Linked DNA regions of Notamacropus eugenii. The protein of the gene in region 2 purifies or fractionates together with the protein of the main gene of each other region. This does not show direct contact. Links are inferred from orthologs where the notes say so. Each region holds a gene or a part of one and is shown on either strand. Other genes may lie near its edges.

Region 1 (11,884 bases), about 160 Mb from region 2:
GATCTCCCCCCTTTCCTAACTTCTCTATCACTGTGGAGAGTACCACTATCACCCCACTTCCTTCACCATCACTATTTACCCAGCACCCTGGAAGTGGCAACCCCTGACAGTCACCATTCTCAACTGCTACCCACAGGGCAGGCAAACCAGCTTAGATGAAGCAGGAAGGTACCCTAATCACTCTCAATCATCCTGGCCATCATCCCTCCTAAGACCCTGAAGCCTGTAGAAGAGCAAGGCTTCCAGCCCAGTACCCACAGCCGTCATCTGAAGAATGCCACCCCTGTGGAGACTCAGCCCAGCAAACTGCTCCCACAAGTGCAATAGCCACAGATATACAGACCCAGAAAAGAAAGTCCCTGACCCTGACCAACACCAGAGATGGCATTAAAGATACAGCACCAATGCCCACTTTGCCACTGCACTCTAAGAACCAACCTGATTTGCAGCTAAAACCTTCCCTATGTGGTAGCTCCCACATGTGAATTCTCACTCCTGGAAAGCAGGACCTGACTTTTCTATTTATATTCTTAGCACAATTCTTTGCACAAAGCATTTAGAAAATGCTTTATTCATCTCCCACAGCCACCAGTGGTCAAACCGTGTGAATTCCACCTCTCCTTTGACAACGACATCACCTCACCTCTGGACTTTCTTCAGTAGGGAAGGGGAAAGGACCTCTTATATACAGACACTGTGCTACATGCTTTATACAGCTCTCATTTAATCCTTACATCAATCCTGGGAGGCAGGTGATTTTTTATTATCCTCATTTTACAGATGAGGAAACTAAGGCCCAGGTCAGAGGCCAGATTTAAGCTCAAGTGTCCTTGACTCCAGGTCACAGGGCCACAGAGCTGCCTCAAGCAGGCAAAAAGTCAAAAAGTCTCTCCCCGATCCAGTCCGTTTTCCATGAAGCACAGGCCTGACCCTGTCACCCTCCCCCCTCACTCAATAAACTCCAGTGGCTCCCATCACCTCCAAGATCAAAGACAAAAGCCTCTGCCTTGCCCCTTCCACATACTCTGCCACTTGCCTCCTGGCTGCTCCTCCAACAAGAGAACAACTCCAGCACGACATGCCCAATGCCAAGGGAGAGGTCCATCAGCCATTTTCATACAAAATATGTAAAAGGTCATTTCAAGGGTGGAAGAGCACGCTCAGGCTGGGCTCTGAGAGTCACTGAGGTTTCTAAGACCTCAGGGTGAGGGACCCAGAACTGGAGTTCCCTCTCCCAGCAACCTGTCCTGGCTTCCTGAGTCTCTGCCTTCTCCAAGAAACCACTGCCAGCCCTCCTTAATCTCTGTGCCTTCCCTCTGAGATGATCTCCAATTGATCATGTGTGTCTGTCTTGTTTGTATGTGGCTGTTTGTACGTTCTTACCCATGAGACTGTGAACTCCTTGAGAACGGACTTATTTTGTCTTTCTTTGTGTCTGAAGCACTTAAGTTCAGTGCCTGGCACATAGTAGGTACTTAATAAAAGCTGGTTCATTTGACTTCAAGAAAAAAGTGGTTAGAATTTTTTAAAATTCTCTTTAAAAAGTACAAAATACCTCTGAATATGTAAGCACTTACAATAGGAAATCAAACTCAAGACAAGTGAGCATCTTTTACAAGAGAACCACAGCACAGGTCCTTGGGTTTCCAGCTACCCATCACTTCTGTAATACTTGTGACACTGGGAGTTAAACCCTCTCTAAGTCAGCTGCCTGACTCTAAGGCTGAGGAAGTAATACATTCATTTTAATTCTGCTGAGTCCCACTTTTTTCAACTTCTTTGGAAAACATTTTCACAAGTGGTTAACTTCCTGGCAAGGAAGGCGACCAGATTAAATTCGAGTCTCACACCTGCACTGAACCAGCCCTGCTAGTCTCCCTCCACTCCTCCTACAGAGGTGACATCCAGAGACCCTGAGAGTGGCAATGAACCACCTACAAGCAGCCACCTCCAAACTTTAGAGGTAAGAAGAGACCAATTCCTTCAAGCTCACAAGAGGAGAGAAAATCTTCATTCTTTCCATAACAAAAACAGCACTGGAGTCAAGAAAGCTGGCTAGAATCTGGCTCGGTTACTTTATGACCTTGGATAAGTCACCAGGCCTCAGTTTCTGCAAACAAAAAATGCATGGTTGGAATAAATGGAGTCATCTCAGAGGTTCCTTCTACCTCTAAACCCTAAGATACCATAACCCCCTCTACCTCTGCAAGCCCTAGAGAAGAGTGCAGGATCCTCACCTACTGGCTGGTAGCAGTGACATAAGTAGAAGATCAGGGAAAACGATGACCACAGCTTTCAGTCTGGGGAGAAAACAGGACAGAGTCCATACAGATTATCCACTTTTATACAGTTCTTTGTCTTCCAGTCCAAGAGGTTTAAAACTTCTGGAAAAATGACCCAGGAGAACTCAGTAAGATAAATGTCCAGCCTAGCAAGCGATCTTTTCAAGTCACCAAGCGTCCTTTCAATAGGAAACAGCAATGGAAATTCAATCCAGACAAACCACACTGCTCCTCCTTCCCTTCCAACAGTACACTTAAAAAAATAATCTTTTTTAAATAACTCTGCTAAAAGAAGTCAGTGACCTTTAGCAGGCTAAATTCTTCCTCCTGAGCCAACAGCATTATGTCTAAGCAAAGCTTCTGAAGGAAAGGAGCATGTTTCTTGAAAGAGTTCTGACAGGGTGTGAAATACATGTCCATCTAGACCAGAGGAAGCCTATTAAGGTTGAATGGCATTCCCAGAAGCTAATCTATAACTAAGTTTCACATTTAGCATTGTCTCTAAAAAAAAAAAAAGTTCAGCTTCAGGACACAACCTACACGAAACTTGGACAACTCTCAAGTTAGTCACTTTTTGCAGAAGTGTTGGGGAGTTTTTGCAAACAAATCTCTATAACATTAGGAAAAAAGGAGAAAAATCACCTCATGCATATTCTAATTTTGGTTTCTGAAGCTGGATCTCTTCTGGTAAGCCGAGTCAGCTTCAGAAATCACACCTCCAAATTCCCACCAGACTCTTCTACTCTCTGCCGCCATCCCTAAGTTACTCTGTAACCGGGGGCCAATGTTTCTACAACGTTTCCCACACCTCTTATCTTTCCTCAGATGTCAGTCTGGGATACAAAGTCTCAGAAAAGCATATCCACTCGGGAGGAACCTCCCAAAAGAGCACTCACGACACGATGATGGCTAAGAACTATAGTTCTACGTCCCTACACAGGTGAACACACATACAGCCAACACTTTACAACTTTTCCAACAACTTTAAAGAACCTGATGAACTCAAAAGCTTCTAGACAGATTCATGCTCTCCTCCGAAAGGGCAAGCTTCAAGCCACAAAAGAACTGTATTCTTCAGACACATGTAAAGACAAAGGAAAGAAGAAGGGAGGGGAGGCCAGGCTAGCTTGAGACTTCCTAAAATTCCCAAATAGCCACATTGGATTAGACCATTTGAAACGGCTCTTCACTTTAGAAATGATTAGGAGTTGCCAAATTGAAAGTGATCGAGAGACTCCTGAGGTGGATCTATGGCTCAGGATCGGGTCTCCCTGGTTAGCTGGGTGCCCACCCTAGACCAGATCCGGGCCAGTTGGCAGGGGGCAGGGCTAGGGATGAGGAGGAGCTGCGGCCTCACCTTACATTTCTGGATGAAAGAAGGCAAGGTCCCATTGGTCTGGGCGCGGACCCCAAACACGGGGCGTTCCCCAATTTGAAAAAGTTCCTTCTCCAACACGTGCCAGCCCTGCCAGCGCGCCCAGGCGACGGGCACCCAAACGCGCTCCCGGCCCAGACCCTGACGGACCGCCTGCCTCCGTTTCTCCATCCGGACGCGGTGACAACACTCCGAGGGCATGACACGCGCGGCCCCCGGCAACCTCAGCACCCAGCAGGCGCCACCTAAAGGCAGGCAGCCCCTCGGACCCGCGCCCACTGGCGCTCCTGGGCACGTGGGAGGAGCTACCCCCCCTCGCAGGTAAAGGGCGCCGCGGGGGCGGGGAGTCCCTCGGGGAGGTGTCGCCGTGCCCAGGGCCCCACCCGCACCCCGGCCACTTGCCTGCTCCGAGCAGTCTAGGCTCCCCCGACCCGGGAGCCCCAACAGCGCCGCCGTCCCGGGCCCCACTTTCGGCCGGCCCCCTCCCGCGAGAGCCGCGCAGTCTCGCGAGGCCGCCTAGTCCCGGGGAGTCTCGCGAGGCCGGGTCGGGGCCAACATGGCCTCCTGAGCACGTCTTCGGAACGGGAACTGCTCGCCACGGGGGAGGCAGCGACGGGGGCTGGGCCGCGCGGCCGGGGTCTGGGGAGGGAAGTGGGGCAGGATGCGCGCGACTCGGCCGCGCGGAGGCTTAGGAGAACTTCAACCCCCAAGTTTCACGTCAAACCGACCGGGCTCCAGACCGGTCACGTGAGCGTCAGCGACCCGCGTGCGTGTCACGTGGGCCGCAGCCCAGCCAGCTCCGAGAGCGCGCCCGGCGCCCCGCCCCCGAGCGCGGCGGCGGCGGCGCAAGCTTGTGCGCGCGCACCCCGCCCCACGTGGGGGCATCGCCACTCACAGCCGTGGCCCCCTCCCCTCTTCACTCTCCTCCGCCCTCCCCTCCCGGGATCCAACGCGCCGCAGAATCCGAGTCCCGCAGCCCCTCCCCCTCCCTTCCTCGCACTCCCCCGCCCGCCACGTGCCCCCAGCGGCCCCGGGGCTCACCTCGGGCGCCGCCGAGCCGACCGGAGAGAGCGGCCGGCGGGCGGCCCGTGGCCGAGAGGGAGGCCACCCCCGCCGCCCCCGGAAGCTCGGCCGGCCGCCTCCCCGCGGCCCCTGTGCGCCAGCCCGCCCGCCCGCCCGGCGGCGCTTCCAAGTGGGCCCGCCTCCCGCTTCTGCCACTTCCCGCGGCCGCCCCCTCGCCTTCTTCCGGCCCCTCCCTTCTCCTCCTCCTCCCCCCTCTTCTCTTTTCCCTTCCCCCCTCCTGGCTCCGCGGGTTCGAATCCCGGCCCTCCCCGCCAGCCTCACCTGATTAATAATGGCGGTCATAATAATTTATAATCATGATAATAACGGGAAGCAGCTGTCGCTGCGGGTCCAGTCGGCTAGATCTTAGTAGGCGCCCGCTGTGTTCCCGGCGCTGTTGCCAAGACCATGAAAATCACAGGTAGAGACTCAGTCCTATCCTTAAATTAAGTGACTTTGGCATTGGGGATGCCAAAGAAAAGAGCCCTCACCCCCCCTCGGGCAGCTTACGTTCTACCGCAGGGCATTTAGAGAGCACCTCGTAGCACTGGGTCCAGAACACCTTTCAAATGCCTGCCCAGGATGAAAACAGCTCCCCCTCCGATCGCTTAAGATCCCCGAGAAGAGCTTGGCCGCTGTCACCTGGGAAACAGCCTGGGAAATAGATACAAAGTAACTTCCCAGGCTCGCTCATTTCCTCCCTGTCAGCTACTTTGTAATCACCTGGAGAGCTGGAGCAGCCTCTGCCTCGGTGGACAGCTCCGGCCCCGCGAGCCCGGCACCCGCACCGCTGCCTTTAGAACCCAGAAGAACCTCCGAACTGAGCTTTGCAGACCAGCAAGTTGGCCCAAACACCGCACAAATGGGTCTACTTTACTGGGGGCCGGACTCCGCAGTATTGCTTTGACAGCAGGTACTACGAGTGGGCCCAGCCTCTATGCCCAGGACCCAGAGCAGGGCTCACATCCCGCCCCCCCTCTCCCCGACAGGCTGGTTGGTGAAGCCCCTGGTCCTCTCTTCAGAATGTTGTTTAAATGCATAAAATAAAATACTTTGGATTATAAAGGAAATCATTGACAGTAAGGAACAGTTAACAGAATTTTTTAAAAAACGAATTAATATCCCCCAGCTTGAGAACTCGTTCCCTAAAACCGAAGATCAGCGCCTTACGCTAGGAACAAATTCAAACACACCCTCCCCAAAGCCAATCAAGGATTCCAGAAATGGAGCCTTCCCAAAGTAGCCGAGCACTGTGTCGCTGGGATTTGTATTGGATGTTTGGAAGTTTGTTTTTTTTCAGGCATGTGAGTAAGTGGAGATGTGGGTAGGTGTCTTTAATACTACTAAAAAAAATTACTGCCAAGTTGAAATGTTTTCTCATATTTTGCTTAGTTGAGAGGGTTACTGAATGTCCATGGGAACAGTTGTCTATTCAGCAGAACTGGGAACATGGAAAGGATTCAGTGTTCCCTTTTAGACCAGAGGGTAGGGAAGAATTCTTACCCAAACAGGAGAAAAGCCAGCAAAAAAGTAAAAAAAAAAATTGTGAATTTGAGGTGCAGAAAATTAAAAAGATTTTGCCACCAGTAAAATCACTGACGCTAGAATTTTACTAGTGGTCTGGTGGGGAAATTTTATTAAGAATTGCATTGGAATGTAAAAAGCACAGTGCTTGACACATAGGAGGTGCTTCCTAATTGTTTATGATCTGATAGGCCAACTTGCCATGGGGTCTGGAATGCTCTCAGTTCTCACCTTCATTCTCTGGGGCACCACCCCCCTTTCCCCTAATGCTGCTCCTTATGTGAGAAGTTTAATGATTTTTGTCTAAGTGTTGATGCTCCCTCCCCCCGCCTCCAAAAAAGAAGCCATTTGTATTTCCAGTGTATGTCGGGAGGTGGGGGTGGCATTTACAGAGTTTTCTCCAGCCGAAGGTAAGCTTCTTGAAGATAAGTATTGTTCCTTGTCTCCATAGCCCCAGGCCCTATCATGAACCTGTTCTCAGTTCAGGTTCAATGAATCTTGAATTGAATTCCTAAATCACTATGGGATCAAAAGAGATGGACAATACTACAAATCACTAATAAAAAAAAAAAAACCACAAAGTACAATAACCCTACATGGTCACTATATACAGATCCAATTGGGAAGGATAAAAAATCCCCGAAATAGCAAATGTTGAAGAGTCCACAAGTGAACTAATGCACTGAAGGTGGAGTTGGGATCTGGTCCAAGCAGTCTAGAGAAAAGTGATTCAGCTCTTCATGTCTGAGCCATCATTCCATATACCCCAGGGAAGCAGGTGCTGGAAATCAAGGATCCACCCATACTCAAATAGTCCTAGTATTTGCTCCTTGATAGCAGCAAGGCCTTGAAAAGAGGGGGCCAGCTGACTGGGGGAAAATAATAATGTTAATAATGATGATGGTGATAGCTAACATATAGTGCCTACTATGTGCCAAACACTACAAGGCACCCTTTAGGATTATTATTGAATCCAGGCTCAGCACTCCACCCACTGCTCGACCTAACAACTTCCAATAAATGGATGATGCTGCAAGAAATGAGCAAAATTGGGGATATGAGGAATCTGGAGAAAGAGCCATGGGAAGAATTACATGAAATGAGTCAGAATCAATAAAGCAGAACCCAATGACTGCAGGAACATGAATGAAAGCAACATGGGCAGGATTCAGATTATCTGCAGTGTCTAATATTGACTCCAGAAAACTATGGGTGGAAAACTCTTCTGTCCTTTAACTAGAGAGATGCTGGGTCACAGGTATTGAACCAACTGTTACTCGCAGTCTCACTGGGCAGAGGGGAGGGTTGCTGGGAGTGACTGTCATGCAAAAATAAGATAAAATAAAATATGAGAGAAGAACAGAGATGGAACTGATATGGTCCCATTCACAGACAAAGGATAGTTTTGTACACTGGTACCTCCGTTACAGGGACTTGGGCATCCAGGACCCGGAGTCAGGAAAGACTAATTTGAGGCCTCAAGGGGGCGCCATGGTGCACACAACACAGAACCTGGAGTCAGGAAGGGGACACAGCAGTGCACAGAACCTGGACGTGGAGTCACAAAAGGCCAATTCCTTATGAGGCCCCTACCTAGGCAGGCCCACAGGCACAGAGCACTGGAGCTGGTGTTCGAGCTGGGTGACTCCTGGTAAATCACTTCACCCTGTTTGCCTCAGTTTCCTCATCTGTAAAATGAGCTGGAGAGGGAAATGGCAAACTACTCCAGGATCTCTGGCAAGAAAGCCCCAAAAGGGGTCGTGACTGAAACAACTGAACAGCTAAAAAATGGAGACCATGACAGCACCTACCTCTCCAAGTTGTTGTGAAGCACTTAGCACGGTGCCTGGCACATAGTAGGCACTTAATAAATTTCCCCTTTTGTTTCCAGAAGATGTTCAAGTTGATTTACTAATGGCACTAGATGAAGGCCTCTCAAAGGCCAAGGTGTTAACCCAAAGTGAGACAGAAGCAGGAGTCTTGGAGCTCAGGCCCCCTGTGGTTGTCTCCTTCAGCTTTGCAGCAGACACACTTAATGAAACTTGTAACCCTATCATCCTATCTCTGATAAGACAAGGATAAACTGTGTCCCGATGCATCCTCTTTGTTAACAGAAGTAGCAAAGCTTGTGTTGATTGTTACATAGAAGTAATTTCATACTTTTTGCTCCTTTATACATTGTATTTGATTTTCAACCACAAACTGTAACTATTTCCTCCAACTCCTTACTACACAAATAGATTTGTGCCAATCAATTGCTACAGTTTAAAAACTCACAGCCTAAGGGAGCCCTGGACTGCTACCCTTGCAACATTTAATAACTCTGTGATCATTAGCATCTTATTTCAAGTCTCAGCTTTCTGTTCTATGAAATAGAGATACCTACGATACCTACAGATAACATATGTAAATGTATTTGCAAAATGTAAAGTACTACACAAATGCTATTATTTCATCTATAAAAAGTGGGGCAAACATGATTTATTTTGTCAAGTAGGCTCCTTTGATAATTTTTAAACTTATGACAAAGTTCTCTTTGTGATCAGATATGCTGATTCAGCTCTTTTGAGTTGTTCAATAAGAGAATGAAAATGTTATGTTCCATCTGATAAAGGCATTAATAATATTAAATGCTTCAAATATTTGATAATAATGCTACTAGCAAATTACTAGTGATATACAAACCTGAGTACAAATACCTGAGACCCTGAGTAGCATTATATTGGGATATATATTCAGTGAAGAAATTTATTTTTCAGAGGGGGAGAGAAGCCTAGTAGAGACTATAGAGAGGACAAAACACAGAAATGGAGTCCAGGGAGAGGATTCTGGGAAGATGGAGACTAAATTACCTAATCTCAAAGAGTGAGTAGGTTAAAGAACAAGTCATAGAAATAATAATGTTATTAAAGAGAATGATAATAATGAGACAATGTACCAATATCTGTGGGATGCCACAAAAGCTGTAATCAGTAGAAAATGTATATCTCTAAATGTTTGCATCAGTAAAATAGAGAGAAGAGAACAATGAATTGGGTATACACTTTTAAAATCAAGAAAAAGAAGAAATTTAAAATCCCCGATTAAATACCAAACTGGAAATTCTAAAAATTAAAGATGAGATGTAAGGAACTGAATATAAGAAGATCATTGAATTAACAAACAAAGCTAGGAGTTGGTTTGATGGGGGAAAAAACAATAAAATAGATAAATCATTGGTTAATATGATTTTTAAAAGTAAAGAAAATCAAATCACTAGTATCAAAAATGGAAGGAGTGAATATACCACAAATGAAGATACAATCAAAACAATTATTAGGAGTTTTTTGCCCAATTATATGACAATAAATTTATTGTGAATTTAAGTGATTTTAATTGTGAATTAAGTGGATTTTATGAATTTAAATGAAATGGAAGAATACTTGCAAGAAATATGAACTGCCCAGATGAACAGAAGAGAAAATAGTATATTAAATAAAACTTTTAGAAAAAGAACCTGAATAGGACATAAATGAGCTTCCTAAGAAAAAAACATCAAGACTAGATATATTTATGAGGAAATTCTACCAAGCATTTAGAGATCAACTAACTCCAATATTTTATTTGAAAAAATTAGTAAAGGAGTCCTCCCAAACTCCCTTTAGGAAATAAATATGGCAGCGATACCAAGAACAAAAATCGAGAAAGAAAATGGAAGGCCAATTTCACTAGTAAATATGGAAGCAAAAATCCTAAATAAAACACTAGTTATGACCTCAAGGCAGGTTCCCCCTCCCTGAGCTAGGAAAATACAGTATGTCCCAAAGATTACACAATATGACCTAGTGGAATTGATAACAAGAATGCAGGAATGATTTAATCTAAGGAAAACTATTAACATAATGGATTATAGCAATAACAAAAGTAACAAAGATCATGTGATTATATCAGTAGACGCAGAAAAAAAGCTTTTGACAAACTCCAACACTCGTACCTATTAAAAACACTTGAAAGTCTATAGATTTAAATGGGTTTTTCCATAAAATGAGAAGAAGCATCTATCTGACATCATCAGCAAGCATTATTTGTAACAGAAATAAGCTAGAAGCCTTCCCAGTAGGATCAGGGGTAAAATAAAGATGCCCATTATCACCAATATTACTCAATATTGTATCAAAATTCTAGCAATAATGATGAGAAGAAAAATAAATTGAAGGACTCCAAATGGGCAATGAAGTAATAAAACTATCTCTTTTGGCAAAAGATAAGAGGATATACTTGGAAAATCCTAGAGTAGGGGTGGGGAACCTGTGGCCTCAAGGCCACATGTGGCCCTCTGAGTCTTTGGGTATGACCTTTTCACTGACTCCAAGTTTTGCAGAACAAATCTTTTTATCAAGGGGGATTTGTTCTGTGAAGTGTGGATTCAGTCAAAGGGCCACACTTGAGGACTTAGAGGGCCATATGTGGCCTTGAGGCTGCAGGTTCCCCATCCCTGTCATAGAGATTCAACTAAAAAGCTAGTTGAAACAATAATTTTTGCAAAGTAGCAGGATATAAAATAAACTCACATAAATTGTCAACATTTCTATAGATCACCAACAAAACCCTGCAAGAAGAGATAATAAGAGATGGCCCACCCCAATTGATAAATGGTCAAAGGATATGAACAGGCAGTTTTCAGAGGAAGAAATTAAAGCTATCTATAGTCATATGAAAAAAATACTCTAAATTGCTATTAATTAGAGAGAAGCAAATCAAAACAACTCTGAGATACCACATCACACCTATCAGATTAGCTAACATGACAAAACAGGATGATGATAAATGTTGGAGAAGATGTAGGAGAGTTGGAACACTAATTCATTGTTGGTGGAGCTGTGAGCTGATCCAACCATTCTGGAGAGCAATTTGGAACTATGCCCAAAGGGCTACAAAAATCTGCATACCCTTTGACCCAGCAATATCACTTCCAGGACTGTATCCCCAAGAGATCATAAAAATGGGAAAGGGTCCCACATGTACAAAAATATTTATAACAGCACTCTTTGTGGTGGCCCAAAACTGGAAATCAAGAGGATGCCCATCAATTGAGGAATGACTGAATAAATTGTGGTATATGAATGTAATGGAATATTATTGTGCTATAAAAAATGATGAACAGGAAGACTTCAGAGAGGCCTGGAAAGACTTATATGATCTGATGCTGAGTGAAAGGAGCAGAACCAGGAGAACTTTGTACACAGCAGCAACCACAGTGTGTGAGGAATTTTTCTGGTAGACTTAATACTTCATTGCAATGTAAGAACTTTAAAAATTTCCAGTGTTCTCTTAAGGCAAAATGCCTTCCACATCCAGAGAAAGAACTATGGAATTTGATCACAGAATGTAGCAGACCATTTTCTTTTGTATTGTGTTTTGTTTTGTTTTATGGTTTCTCCCATTCATTTTAAATCTTCTATTCAACATGATTAAGGTGAAAATGTATTTAATAGGAATGTATGTACAGAACCTATATAAAATTGTATGGAGTGGGGAGAGAGGGGAACAAAAATCCAAGTTATATGGAAGTGATTGTAGAACACTGAAAACTAATAAAAAATTTAAAAAAGATATAGTCCATTTAAAGTAAGTGTAGACAGCATAAATTACCTGGGAGTAT
Region 2 (12,009 bases):
CAGATGAGAAAACTGAGGCTCTGGGAGGTAATGCAACTTGATCAAAATTACACAGGTGGTGAATGGCAGTCAGGAACTGAACCCAAGACCTGGGGCTTTTTCCATGAATTTTCAATGTCGAAGTCATTTAAGAAAGTAGAATAACCCTCAGAAGGAGACAGACAGAATTGGAAAGAGGCTGAAAGGGGATATCCTTGAAAAAACATTGTCAGGGGAATAAAAATGATCATCCATAAAGCCTCTTCCCAACCCCTTACCCAATGAATCCCCCAAACCCAATAACAGAATTTTATGCTTCAAATGCCATAAATACTTTGTTATGAAACTGAGGGAGCATAGGGAATAGGGAAATAGAAATCTTCTGAATGTAAGGGGCTGCCTGAATTCATCCCCAAAAAAGATAATTTCTTACAGATTTCTTTCCTTTACCCAACAAGTATTTGTTGCTAATAATGCTTGATTTCTTAACTAAACCCACTCCAATGACCCACTGTGGAACAAATATAACCCTAGGTTCTTAAAGGCTAAACTAGCAGAGTTGCATCTCTGAAAAGGTCTTCCAAGACAGAAGTACTAGACCGTATAGCTGTGATGTGAGGACCAATCTAGTGAAATTCAAAGAGTCTACTTGCTAAAGGGCTGACCAGTAGCTGATAAGTTGTTTTTAACCACAGAAACTCATCAAACTATATTTCAAGACATGGAAGAATTGGGATCTACACCAGTGGAAGATGAACCCATACTGATAAAAGCAAATCCTTAAAATAATGATTTATATTGTTGTCTGTTGTTATTAGGATTATATTCTATAAAAAATAAATTCCACCTAAAAAGGGCATTTTCTTATGCCTTCAGTTGGCATGTTACAATCACTAGTGATGAGCACATCTCTCAAGCTGTGTCTTGAGAGAATCTGTTATTAAAATTTTATTGCTCTCTTTTTTAAATATTGCCTTAATTTCAAAACATATTCCTCTTCCCTCCTCCTCACAACAAGCCACTCCTTCAAAAGACAAAGAGACAACAAAAAAGAAAAAAATCAGTTCAGTAAAAATAACCAATACACAAACCAAGTACTAAATGACAGCATATAAAATGCTCCATACTCTAACTCAGCAACAAAGGAAAGGAGGCATATTTTCACACCTCTTCTTTGAGGAAAAAAGTATGAGCCTCATAATTATACAGAGCTCATTTTCTTTGCTGTTGATGTTTCCATTTATATTGCTGCAGTCCCCGAGTATATACTGTTTTTCTGATTTTGCAAACTTCACTCTGTATCAAGTCCTACAAATCTTCCCATCCTTCTCTACATTCTTCATAATCATCAAAGAAATCCCATTGCTTTTTAAAAATCAAGACTTACAGGAAATAATGCAAAGTGCAATGAGCAGAACCAGGAGAACACTGCACACAGTAAAAGGAATACTGTATGATGATCGACTGAATGCCTTAGCTCTTCTCAGAAATGCAACGATCTAAGACAATTTCAAAGAACTCATGATGAAAAATCCCATCCACATCTAGAGAAAAGACTGATGGAGTCTGAATACAGATCAAAGCATTTTATTTTTCATTTTCTTCATTTTTTTGTGGGGTTTTTTTGGTCTTCTTTTATAACATGATTAATATGGAAATATGTTTTGCATGATTGCACATATATAACCTATATCAAATTGCTTACTATCTCAGGAAGGGGGAGGAAAGGAAAGTAGGGAGAGAATTTCGAAGTCAAAATATTTAAAAGATGAATGTTAAAAACTGTCTTTACATTTAATTAGGGGAAAATAAAAATATAGATATATTTTTAAATCAAGGTTTAGAAAGATTTTTTTTAAAAAAACACACCTAAGAACTAGAAACAGGAACAAAAAGAAATGAATACTGCATAATTCTAATGACCAAGGTTGGCTATAGAGAAGACTTGAGAAAGTGCACCTTTGTCCCTTCATTTCCAAGGTGGGGTACTATGGATATGGAATGGTGCATGTACTGTCTGTATTGAAACATTAGTTGGTTTTACTGATTCATGGTTTTTTCCATTCTTTTAAAATATTTGTTACAAGGATTGATTAATTGGATGGAGGTGGGGGAAGAATAGTTTCAGAAATAAATGTGATGTAAAAACAAAAGACACCAATAAAAATAAGAAAATTGCTATAAGAAAGAAAAAAGGGGAAAAAAAAAATCAAGCTCTTGGATGACCATCCTAGCTTCATACTCTGGCACTTTTCTGTATCATTTTCTACTAATTCCAGAATAAGGGTGTCTTATCACTGCCTTACTGGGCAATAAACAGAAACCTGTATGATTTTAATCTAGTTTGATGCATTTCAAGCAGTTTCAGAATCACAAAAGGCCTTTACAAGTAGAGTCACAAGGTTTCCACCCCTGCCATCATCTGTGTGACCTACATGCCACCGAGAGTCCCCTGAGGTCATACTTACTACTGAAGGAGCCCAATCTGTCCATTCCCACACTGAGAGAGGTTACAGCTTTGATTGTCTTCCTCAAAGCCTGATCCCAGCACTGTCCAGCAAATCCCCAGGAATGTGTGGATCCCTAGAAATAGACAAAGTCAATGAAGGATACACAGGTGAGGGAAAGAATGGCAAGGATGACAAAGTGCTGGAGGGAAATGGAATGAGCACAGGACTTAAAGAACCAGAAGACCTAGGCTCCAGTTCCAGTTCTGCCAATGAATATTAGCAAGTCACTGTATTTATTTTACGTGTACTTATATCTGGTCACATTGTCTCCCTGATAGAATACAAATCCTTTAGTATAAGAACTATATGATTTTTGGTTTTGTATTCTGAGCACCTAGTACCTGACATAGAGCAGGTGCTTAATAAATGTTGTTTAGTCATTTCTGACTCTTTGTGACCCCTTTTGAGGTTTTCTTGGCACAGATACTGGAAATGGTTTGCCATTTCCTTTTCTAGCTCATTTTATAGATGAGGAACCTGAAGCAAACAGGATTAAGTAACTTGCCTAGGGTCACACAGGTATCTGAGGCCAGATTTAAACCCATGAGGATAGTCTTCCTGATTCCAAGGCCAATGTTTTATCTACTGCATTGCCTAACTGCCCTAATAAATGTTAGTTGATTTGATTGACATCTCTCTCAGCCTCAGTTTCAGCACCTATCAATGGGAGTAATAATTGTTTTCACTAGACTCACTGGGTTGTTCTGAGAAAAACTCATTCTGTAAAATGCTAGGTAAGTGTGAGCTGTTATCACCTTGGTTCTTTGAAGGTGAAAATGGAAGCAAAAGCCAGACATTACCTTCCACTGACAGTGGACTGGCTTTTAGACTCCAAGAATCATTTGGTTGACCCTGATGTTTTCTCAGTGGAAGGGAATTATTCACCAGTAAATACAGACAACACCCATATAATTCCACCGAAAAAGAACTAATTGGGGAGCAATCCATCAGAGAAAAGGAGAAGAGAGATGCAAACTTCTCTCCAGAATCGAACAACATGGGTCCCAGTCTGCTCTTTCATATTTTGATCACATTGTACTCCTTCATACACCCTCTATTCCAGCCAGACTAGCTTATATCCTCTTTATAGGACTAGCCATGTACTAATCATCTCCCACCTCTGAGTCTTTACCTAGGCTGTAACCCTTTCTCTTGGAATGTATTTATTTCCTACCTCCCACACTTAGATCTTGTGCTTCCTTCAAGATTCAGCTCAGGGTACCCGTCTACATGAAACCTTTCCTCATTCTCCTTATTTCATTGGTCACTGCTCCTTGTCCCACCCCCAATTAAGAGTATTTACTTATCTGTGTAAATGTCTACAATAGAATGTAATATCCTTGAGGGCAAAAATTTTTGTTTGTTTGTTTTTTAGCCTTATATCTTCACCTCCTAACATAGGAAGCATGTAATACATGCATCTGTGGCACAGGCATGTAATTACGTATATTGATTGAACTGATTTAATCGATTTCCAGGAGGGGTGGGTCTTCAAAAGTAAATATGTGCACAAACTGATTGACTGATTATCAACCAACCCAACAACTAAATGGAGAACTATCTGGTTTGGATTCTGCTCCTTCTATATCCAGAGTTCTTAACCTGGAGTCTGGAGCTTTATTTTTTAATTGATAAATTGTATTCCAATATCATTGGTTTCCTTTGTAATCCTATGTAACTTATTTTGTGCATTTAAAAACATGATTCTGAGAAGACTTCACCAAATTCTGCAAAAGGATTCCAGAACACAAGAAAGGTAAAGGACCTCAGATCAAGGGATGAGCAGAGTAAGATGTGTTAACTACTGCAGCAGAGAAATCAGAGAGGCAGCAGCTCTCCATCACCCCAGGTGGCCAGATATCAGAGGGACTCTTACTCATGAAGGACCAGAGACATGACGTAACAACTCCACAGGAGAGCACAGGATTCAGCTGGAAGGGACTTTAGAGGGCATCCTCTAACTCCAACTCCTCAAGCCACAAATCACAAGATCAAGCCCCTCCAAAAGTGGGAAAGGTCATAGACAGTGAGCAGAACTGAGATTCAAACCCTAGTCCTCTAATATCAAATTCAGTGCTCTTTCCACCATTGTCAGTGGGAGTCAAATTAAAAGTGAGAGGTCCACTAAACAGTACATGATAACATCTATATTTTACTGTACTTTTGTTAACTATCTGGTTCGGGCAATTCAGGAGTCTAGCAGGCAGCATGTTTGACACCTCTGCCCTACTTGAGGCCATGAAAAGGCAGGAAAATGGTCAGGTTCAAGGAAACATTTAATCAAATTCAACCGGATTCCTGAGAAGTGTGACTAGAGCACCAGACTTGGAATTCCAGAAATGAGTTCATATCCTACCCAAGACACATGCTAGCTGGGTGACCATGGACAATTCACTTACCATTCCCAAGCCTCAGTTTCCTCATGTGCACCACATACCCAGAAGGGCTATATTGTTGTACAATATACGTAAAACTGAAAAGTACTTCACAAACCTTAAAATCCACATTTCTTTTGGTTGCATCACACTTTCCATGACCTTGCTTGGGGTTTTCTTGGCAAAGATAGTGAAGTGGTTTACCATTTCCTTCTCCTGCTCATTTTACAGATGAGGAAACTGAGGCAGACAGTGGTTAAGTGACTCGCCTAGGGTCACACAACTCCTAAGTGTCTGAGGCTGGATTTGAACTCGGGAAGATCTGGTTCCTGGTGCCTGAAATCTACCCCCTCTAATAAAGGGTTAGTAATTGCTACTGTAGCAGCCAGGTAGCACAGCAGCCAGAGCGCCAACCTGCCTCCAACATGTCCTAGCTATGAGACCCTGGACAAGTCACTTAACCTGTTTGCCTCAGTTTCCTCATCACCTCCCGGCGTTGCTGTATCCAATGAGAAATCACTGGTAAAACATTTTTACAAACCATAACGCATCGTACAGTTATTACCATAAACTTAAAAGACCACAGAATTGGAGCAGTACAGGTGTTTTTCCCTCGCTCTGCTACGGGGTCCAGGCAGAATGGCCGCCCCCACTCCGCAGATGGAAAAGCTGAGGCCGCGGGGGGGAGCCGCAGGGGCAAGGCTGCAGAGGGGAGGGGCTGCCGGCGGAGGTCAGCGGGGTCACGTGCGCCGTTCCCCCAGGCCTCACGCGCTAGCTCGCGCCCATCTGCCCCGCCCCCCTCCGCTTCACTCCCGCCGGCGCGGCGGCAGCGTGACCACGCGTGCCTCCCCGATCACTCCTCTACGTCGGCCTTGACGCCAGCCTCGGCCCGGGCCCCCGCGCGCCGGCTCGCCTGGGAACGCCAGCTCCCTCCCCTCCTGCCCCCGCCTCCGGGCCCCCGCGCCCCACCCCCTGCCCCTCGGCCCCGCGGCCGGCCACCTCACCTCGCCGCTTCCCCCTCCTCCAGGGCCAGGAAGTCCAGAGCCGTTCGCGCGCACGCAGGCGTGTGCAGGCGAGGAATGCGCGCGCGCCTATGGCCCCTCCCCGCGCTGCTCCGCCGAGCATGCGCACTTCCGCGGCCTTGGGCGCGCTGCTGGAGTGACTACCCGGTGTGCAGGTGCTTTTAATGAGGCTCACCCTACAGATCGGGCAGAAATCGCTTGCCACGTGCAGCCCCTACGCATTTACTAAGCACCTCCTGTGAGTCGGGCAAGCGCTGTGCCAGGCTCTAAGGCTATGATGACAGGATATTCCACCTCCACACTCCGGGCTATTATTCACGTCTTGTCTCTCGTGCCAGGTGTGCTCTTTCTTGTCTCCGTCTTGTGGCTTCCCTGACTTTCTTAAAGTCTCAGCCAAAGTCCTGCCATCCGCCAGGGCCCTTCCCCGCCCTCTCTAATCTTACGTTAAGACTTTCTGTGGAATCTTCTAAATCCATCTTCATCGCCCTTCCCTTGGCTATTTCCGGTTCGTCTGGTCCTCCTCGCTTGCGGGTGGTCTCTCCCCTTGGGGTGAAGCCGCCCCTTGAGCGGCGGGACTGTCTCTTTGTGTTGCCGGTGCTTGGGGCAGCGCCCTGCGCTCAGGAGGCCCTTAACGCGTGGGTTACTTTGGTTTGGAGCAGCCCCGTTCCGAAAGGAGGTTACGTTATCCTGGGCTCAGGGCAGTACAAAATGTATTCACGCAATTTCCAGAGGAAGAGAGACGCTGGGGAGACCAAGGAAAGTCCAATCCAGAGGTCTAAACTAGAAGTCCTTGAGGGGAGCTCCAGGTGTGCTTGGATTCCGTTGGTTAAGCGCCTCGTGGGTGCTAGGAGCTGTGCTAAGCGCTTCCGTCCTGCTGGCTGACAGCTTTGTGACCTTGGGCGCACCTGGGCGGGCTCCTAGGTCCCTTCCAAAGCGCACTTTCTGTAGTCCTGGGTCATTTATTTACCCTCTCCGGACCTCGGTGGTTTCGTCTCTAAACCAAGGATAATAAATATATCATCTTTCCCATTGGAAATAGTTGGTCCTTAAAATGATCAACAATTGGGGGTTACCAGTGTTCTGATTACTAATAGAAGCCTTAAAAGGGTTGGGATGTGGGAGAAAGTAATTGCCCTCCTTGGAATCCCTAAAGATAGGGCTCTCCCAATTTTAATTAGTTATTTATAGTTCAGAGAATTTAGAGCTGGAAAGGCATCACCTGACTCAAGGAAATCATTTTATAAATAAGGGAATTGAAGCTGAAAGAGGAGAACGTCCCAGGTCACAGATGTCAGATACAGGATTAGAACCCAAGTCTTCTTGACTAAAATTTAGGATTCTTGACGCTATGGCATTCAGACTAGCTCTTTATGTCACTAATTTATTCACTCCCTTAAAAAATTTTTTTTTTCTATTGTACATACATACTGAGTCAAGTTTATGGCTCTCCGTGTATAGTAGTTCTTCCTTAATTAGATGTTTACTAAGAGCTGATCCATTCTTTTTTAACAATATTCTCCTCTCACAAGCAAAAGACTCATTAGTGGAGGGATAAAGAGGAGAGGTGAGAGAAAAACATGAAGTCTACTCTCATCACATTCCACTAAAGGAAAGAATAAAATGCACACTCATTTTGGTAGGAAAACCTATCTCACAATACAGGAAAGTGGGGGACAAGGGGACAAGCAGGGTGGGGGGGATGATAGAAGGGAGGGCATGGGGAGAAGAATGCAATTCGAGGTCGACACTCATGGGGAGGGATAGGATCAAAAGAGAATAGAAGTAATGGGGGACAGGATAGGATGGAGGGAAATATAGTTAGTCCTATACAACACAACTAGTATGGAAATCATTTGCAAAACTACACAGATTTGGCCTATATTGAATTGCTTGCCTTCCAAAGGGAAGGGGTGGAGAGGGAGGGAGGTAAAGAAGTTGGAACTCAAAGTGTTAGGATCAACTGTAATGTTCTTACCACTAGGAAATAAGAAATACAGGTAAAGGGGTAAAGAAAGCTATCTGGCCCTACAGGACAAAAGAGAAGATGGAGACAAGGGCAGAGAGGGATGATAGAAGAAAGAGTAGATTGGTCACAGGGGCAATTAGAATGCTTGGGTTTGGGGGGGGAGGGGACAAAAGGGGAGAAAATTTGTAACCCAAAATTTTGTGAAAATGAATGTTAAAAATTAAATAAATTAATTAATTAAAAAATATATATATTCTCCTCTCAGTGCCATATGGCAGTCAATTCTGGAACACAGAAATCACAGAAAAAATCAAACTGATAGACCCCTCAAAGGAAAATGAAGAAAGATGTAGCCGACCTGATGATTAAGATGGCTTATGTTAATTACCAAAGATGACTTGTATACAGGAAGTAGCATAAAAAACATCATGGAGGAAGTCAGAAAAGGATATCAGTCTTGTAGAGCAATCTGTCAAGAAACATTCATCAAGTGCTTTTACCTGTTCAAGTACTATACTAACTGGGGCAGCTAGGTGGTGCAGTGGATAGAGCACCAGTGCAGGAGTCAGGAGGACCTGAGTTCAAATGTCACCTCAGACATTTGACACTCACTGGCTGTGAAATAGCAGGAAATTCTGGGAAATAGTGTCTGTAATGTGTTTAGCTATTCAAGGAAGAATTAGTTGTTGGGGAGGGAAGGAAAGGGACAGCAGTTGTTGTGCAGTGTTACCATTAGAAAGTCTAGCAGTCCATATGCTTTACCTAAAGCAGTACAGGAGAAGAATAGGAAAATACGAATAAATGTAAAGTACTGGTCATTGAACAAGAAAATTAAAGTGGACCAGTATGCCATGCCAAGAGAAAGGAAGGAAAAGAAGCATAGTAGCACACCTACTGTGGGCCAGGCAGTTTGCTAAGAGCTTTATAAATATCTCATTTGATCATCACAACCACCCTTGGAGATAAGTGCTGCTGTTATCCCCATTGCACAGTTGAGGAAACTGAGGCAAGCAAAGATTAAGTGACTTGCTCAGGATCACACAACTAGTCACTAAGGTCAGATTTGAACTTGGGTCTCCCTGACTCTAGGTCCAGCATTCTGACCATTGTGCCACCTTCTCCTTTGGATTGTTTGCTAGGCAGTCAGTGCTTGGACTTACAGAGTAGTTACCTGTAAGGCCAAGCAGTAGAATCTTTTGCTGTTTTTGTTTTGCTAAAAGTGCTTCTGATTGAAAAATGTGATTAAAGAATATCTTCCTCACACATTGATAGGTCTGCCCATTGAGGGAAACTTAAGCTGATTTGTAGGAGGGTCCCAAGTACCTTTTGTTTTTTCTGTTGAGGCACTGGGTCAGAGGGTCATGCCCTCTGGTTCTGAGAAGTGTATAACTGCTCCGAGGGTGAGCTTTTACTTTGGGGCTTACCTACTGGAAGTGTTTGTTTGGCCAGAGGAGGACTCTCGGAAGCCACTAAGAAGCCCCCTGGCTTGGAAAACCCAGATGTTGGTGCTTCCTTCTCTGGTAACTATGGTTTTCTTTGGCAATGAAGGACGAACACACACATAACTATGGTCAGACAGTTGGACCTGTTTGTAGAATAGTAATGTGTGTATTGATTATGGACAGACAGAGGAAGCCATGTCTGTTATCTTTGATTTCTCTGTATTTTCTCTGAAGTTCAGGGTGCTGACTTTTCCCCTGAACTAACTGAATGATACATGTGCTTGATTAAAGTGATTTTTAACCCCTCAAAAGTTGCCTTTCCTTTTATAAATGCTGATCTAAGAACCTGTGATAGCAGGTCCCCCTGTGTATGTTGGGGTGCTTACTATTACAGTACCATCAGTTCCCTGGGGCAGATGAAGACAAAGAGAAGGCAGCATTTATCCTCTCAGCTAGATTTTAAACAATTTGAGAATATCCTCATTCCCCCTCTCCTTCTTATTTGCCCCTACTCCAGGCATCTCTGGGATTATGTGCTACTTCACAATGGCAAATGAAAAAAGACATTGGAGACATAAACTACATGGAAGCATTGCGGGACCTAGGTGATTGCTGTGAGCTCAGTAGGCACTATCAGCCAGGGGAGGCTAACATAGGTGTACCAAAGATAATGAGATACTAATGGTGATGGTGATACTCCTGAAAGGAGGGAAAGCTAGCTATTTGTGTTACTTATTTGTTTTGGGCTGCTCCAGGATGGACGTACACCTTCCATTTGGTAGGTCAGATTTGAACCCAGAGGATGCTAGTGGCATACATGAAACTTGTTTTATTTAGTCAGACAGTTATATAGCACTTTCAGGTAGGAGAAGTCTTTACAGTCATCCTGGGAAATAGGTAGCATGACCTCCCTTTTTTTAGAGTCAGAGGGCAGTGGGTATGGAACATCACATATCTTGTTTTACCTGGTTTAGTTTGGTTGAAGTGGATAAAGAGTCAGGAACATCTGAGATCAAATCCAGCCTCAGACACTTGCTAGCTACGTGTTCCTGAACAGGTTACTTAATTAATATCTCATAGCTTCAGTTTCCTTATCTGTAAAACAGGGATAATAATGGCACCTACTTCCTGGGATTGTTCTGAGGATTAAATGAGATCACATTTGTAAAGCACTTTGTAAAACCTTAAAACTCTACACAAATGTAAATTATTATAACTACAAGTGTAGTTACTCTTCACTGCATAAAGGGAAAGAAGGAAGAATATATTTGGAGATAAAGGTAATGTTAAAAAATCAATTGAAAATAAGAATAATTAGATGGTGCAAGTAGTAATATACACATTTTCCAGCTGAGGAAAATGAGGTTTCAAGAGGTTAATCGACTTGTCCAGGGTCACACAGCTAGAAAGTGTTTGATGTGGAATTCAGATTCAGGATTCTGAATGCCAAATCCATGTTGCTCCCAACTTTTCTGGAAAGTAGTAAGCTCATAAACAAAGGCTTGTTGGGCAGCAGTGAGGACTCAATTGAGGTTAGCCTAGCACAGTTTGTTCTAGAGCCACTCAGAGTGATTTTGTGGTTTTTTTCCTACTAGCATTGTTGACTAGGGAATAAGGATGAAGAAAATAAATGGGGGTAGTTACCCACAGTTGAGGATTAATGGAGCTGGAATGTTGGAAGGACAGGGTCCAGGGGAAGAGGAGGCATGGCATAATGGAAATAACACTAGACTCAGAGTTGAAAGAGCCTTTTTCAAATCTAGACTCTGCCACTTTCTACTTGTAGAACTGTGAAGTAAGTCATTTAACCTATATGAACCTCAGTTACTTTATCTGTAAAATCAAGGGACTGGACTAGATGATAAAAAATTTTTTATTTTAAAATTAAACACATCCAAAAGGATCATTTCTGTTCTAACTGAAAGGTGGAAGGAAACTCTGTGGAAGTGTGAGTCTCCATTTCACACTGCTTATCTTGACTCAATTTCTGAATCAGAACTCTATCGTTAATATCCTATGAATTTGGATCCAGAAATGTAGGACAAAATGATGTTGAAAAGATAGACAAATGGGGAAGACTGGGTAAGAAGTGGAACCCAGCCAGAGGTGACAGAGAAAAGGGAGGAACCAAAAGACCAGAACTCGTAATAAGAATGAAGAGAAGGTTTAGAACATGAAAGGCAGCAGACTGTAATCAGAAAATAAGAATTTCAAAATTTTAGATCTTAGAAAGGGAGTAGTTTTGAGTTGTGATATGGGTTGAGGTATGCTGCTTTAGGGGCTTTAGTGGAGTGAATGGAGTTCATAGTTGTTGAGGAAGTCTCCCAAAGATAAATGATCAAAATATACGAACAAACATTTTTCAAAAGAAGTACTGCAAAGTATTCACAGACACATGAAAAAATGTTCTAAATTGCTAATAATAAGAGAAATGCAAATCAAAACAACCTTGAGATTTTATCTTACACCCTGCAAATTGGCAAAAATGATCCAAAAAGGCAATAGTCAATGTTGGAAGGATTGTAGAAAAATAGGCACTCTAATACATTGTTAGTGAAGTTGTGAAATGGCACAACCATTTTGGAAAGTTATTTGGAATTATGCAAATTGAGTGACTGAAATGTCCATAGCATTTGAACCAGAGATTCCATTTCTGAGCTTATACATCAAGGGACCCATTGATAAGAAAAAAGTTCCCATATACTTCAAAATATT

What was found.
Region 1: the proteins of TADA2A (region 2) and ZZZ3 purify together in Homo sapiens (affinity purification with mass spectrometry; 4 studies listed by BioGRID and IntAct, with this or other methods). This does not show direct contact. The link is inferred for Notamacropus eugenii from reciprocal best matches to the Homo sapiens genes TADA2A and ZZZ3.

The regions. Positions count from the first base shown.
Region 1 is NC_092873.1:538,894,666-538,906,549, forward strand, and holds the start of ZZZ3 (ZZ-type zinc finger-containing protein 3), read right to left. Parts: upstream 4,843-11,884; 5' UTR 4,699-4,842; intron 4,402-4,698; exon of another isoform or gene 4,060-4,401; intron 1-4,059.
Region 2 is NC_092873.1:376,157,061-376,169,069, reverse strand, and holds the start of TADA2A (transcriptional adapter 2-alpha), read right to left. Parts: upstream 5,638-12,009; 5' UTR 5,433-5,637; coding exon 5,430-5,432; intron 2,563-5,429; coding exon 2,448-2,562; intron 1-2,447. UniProt on the Homo sapiens protein: Component of the ATAC complex, a complex with histone acetyltransferase activity on histones H3 and H4. Required for the function of some acidic activation domains, which activate transcription from a distant site. Binds double-stranded DNA.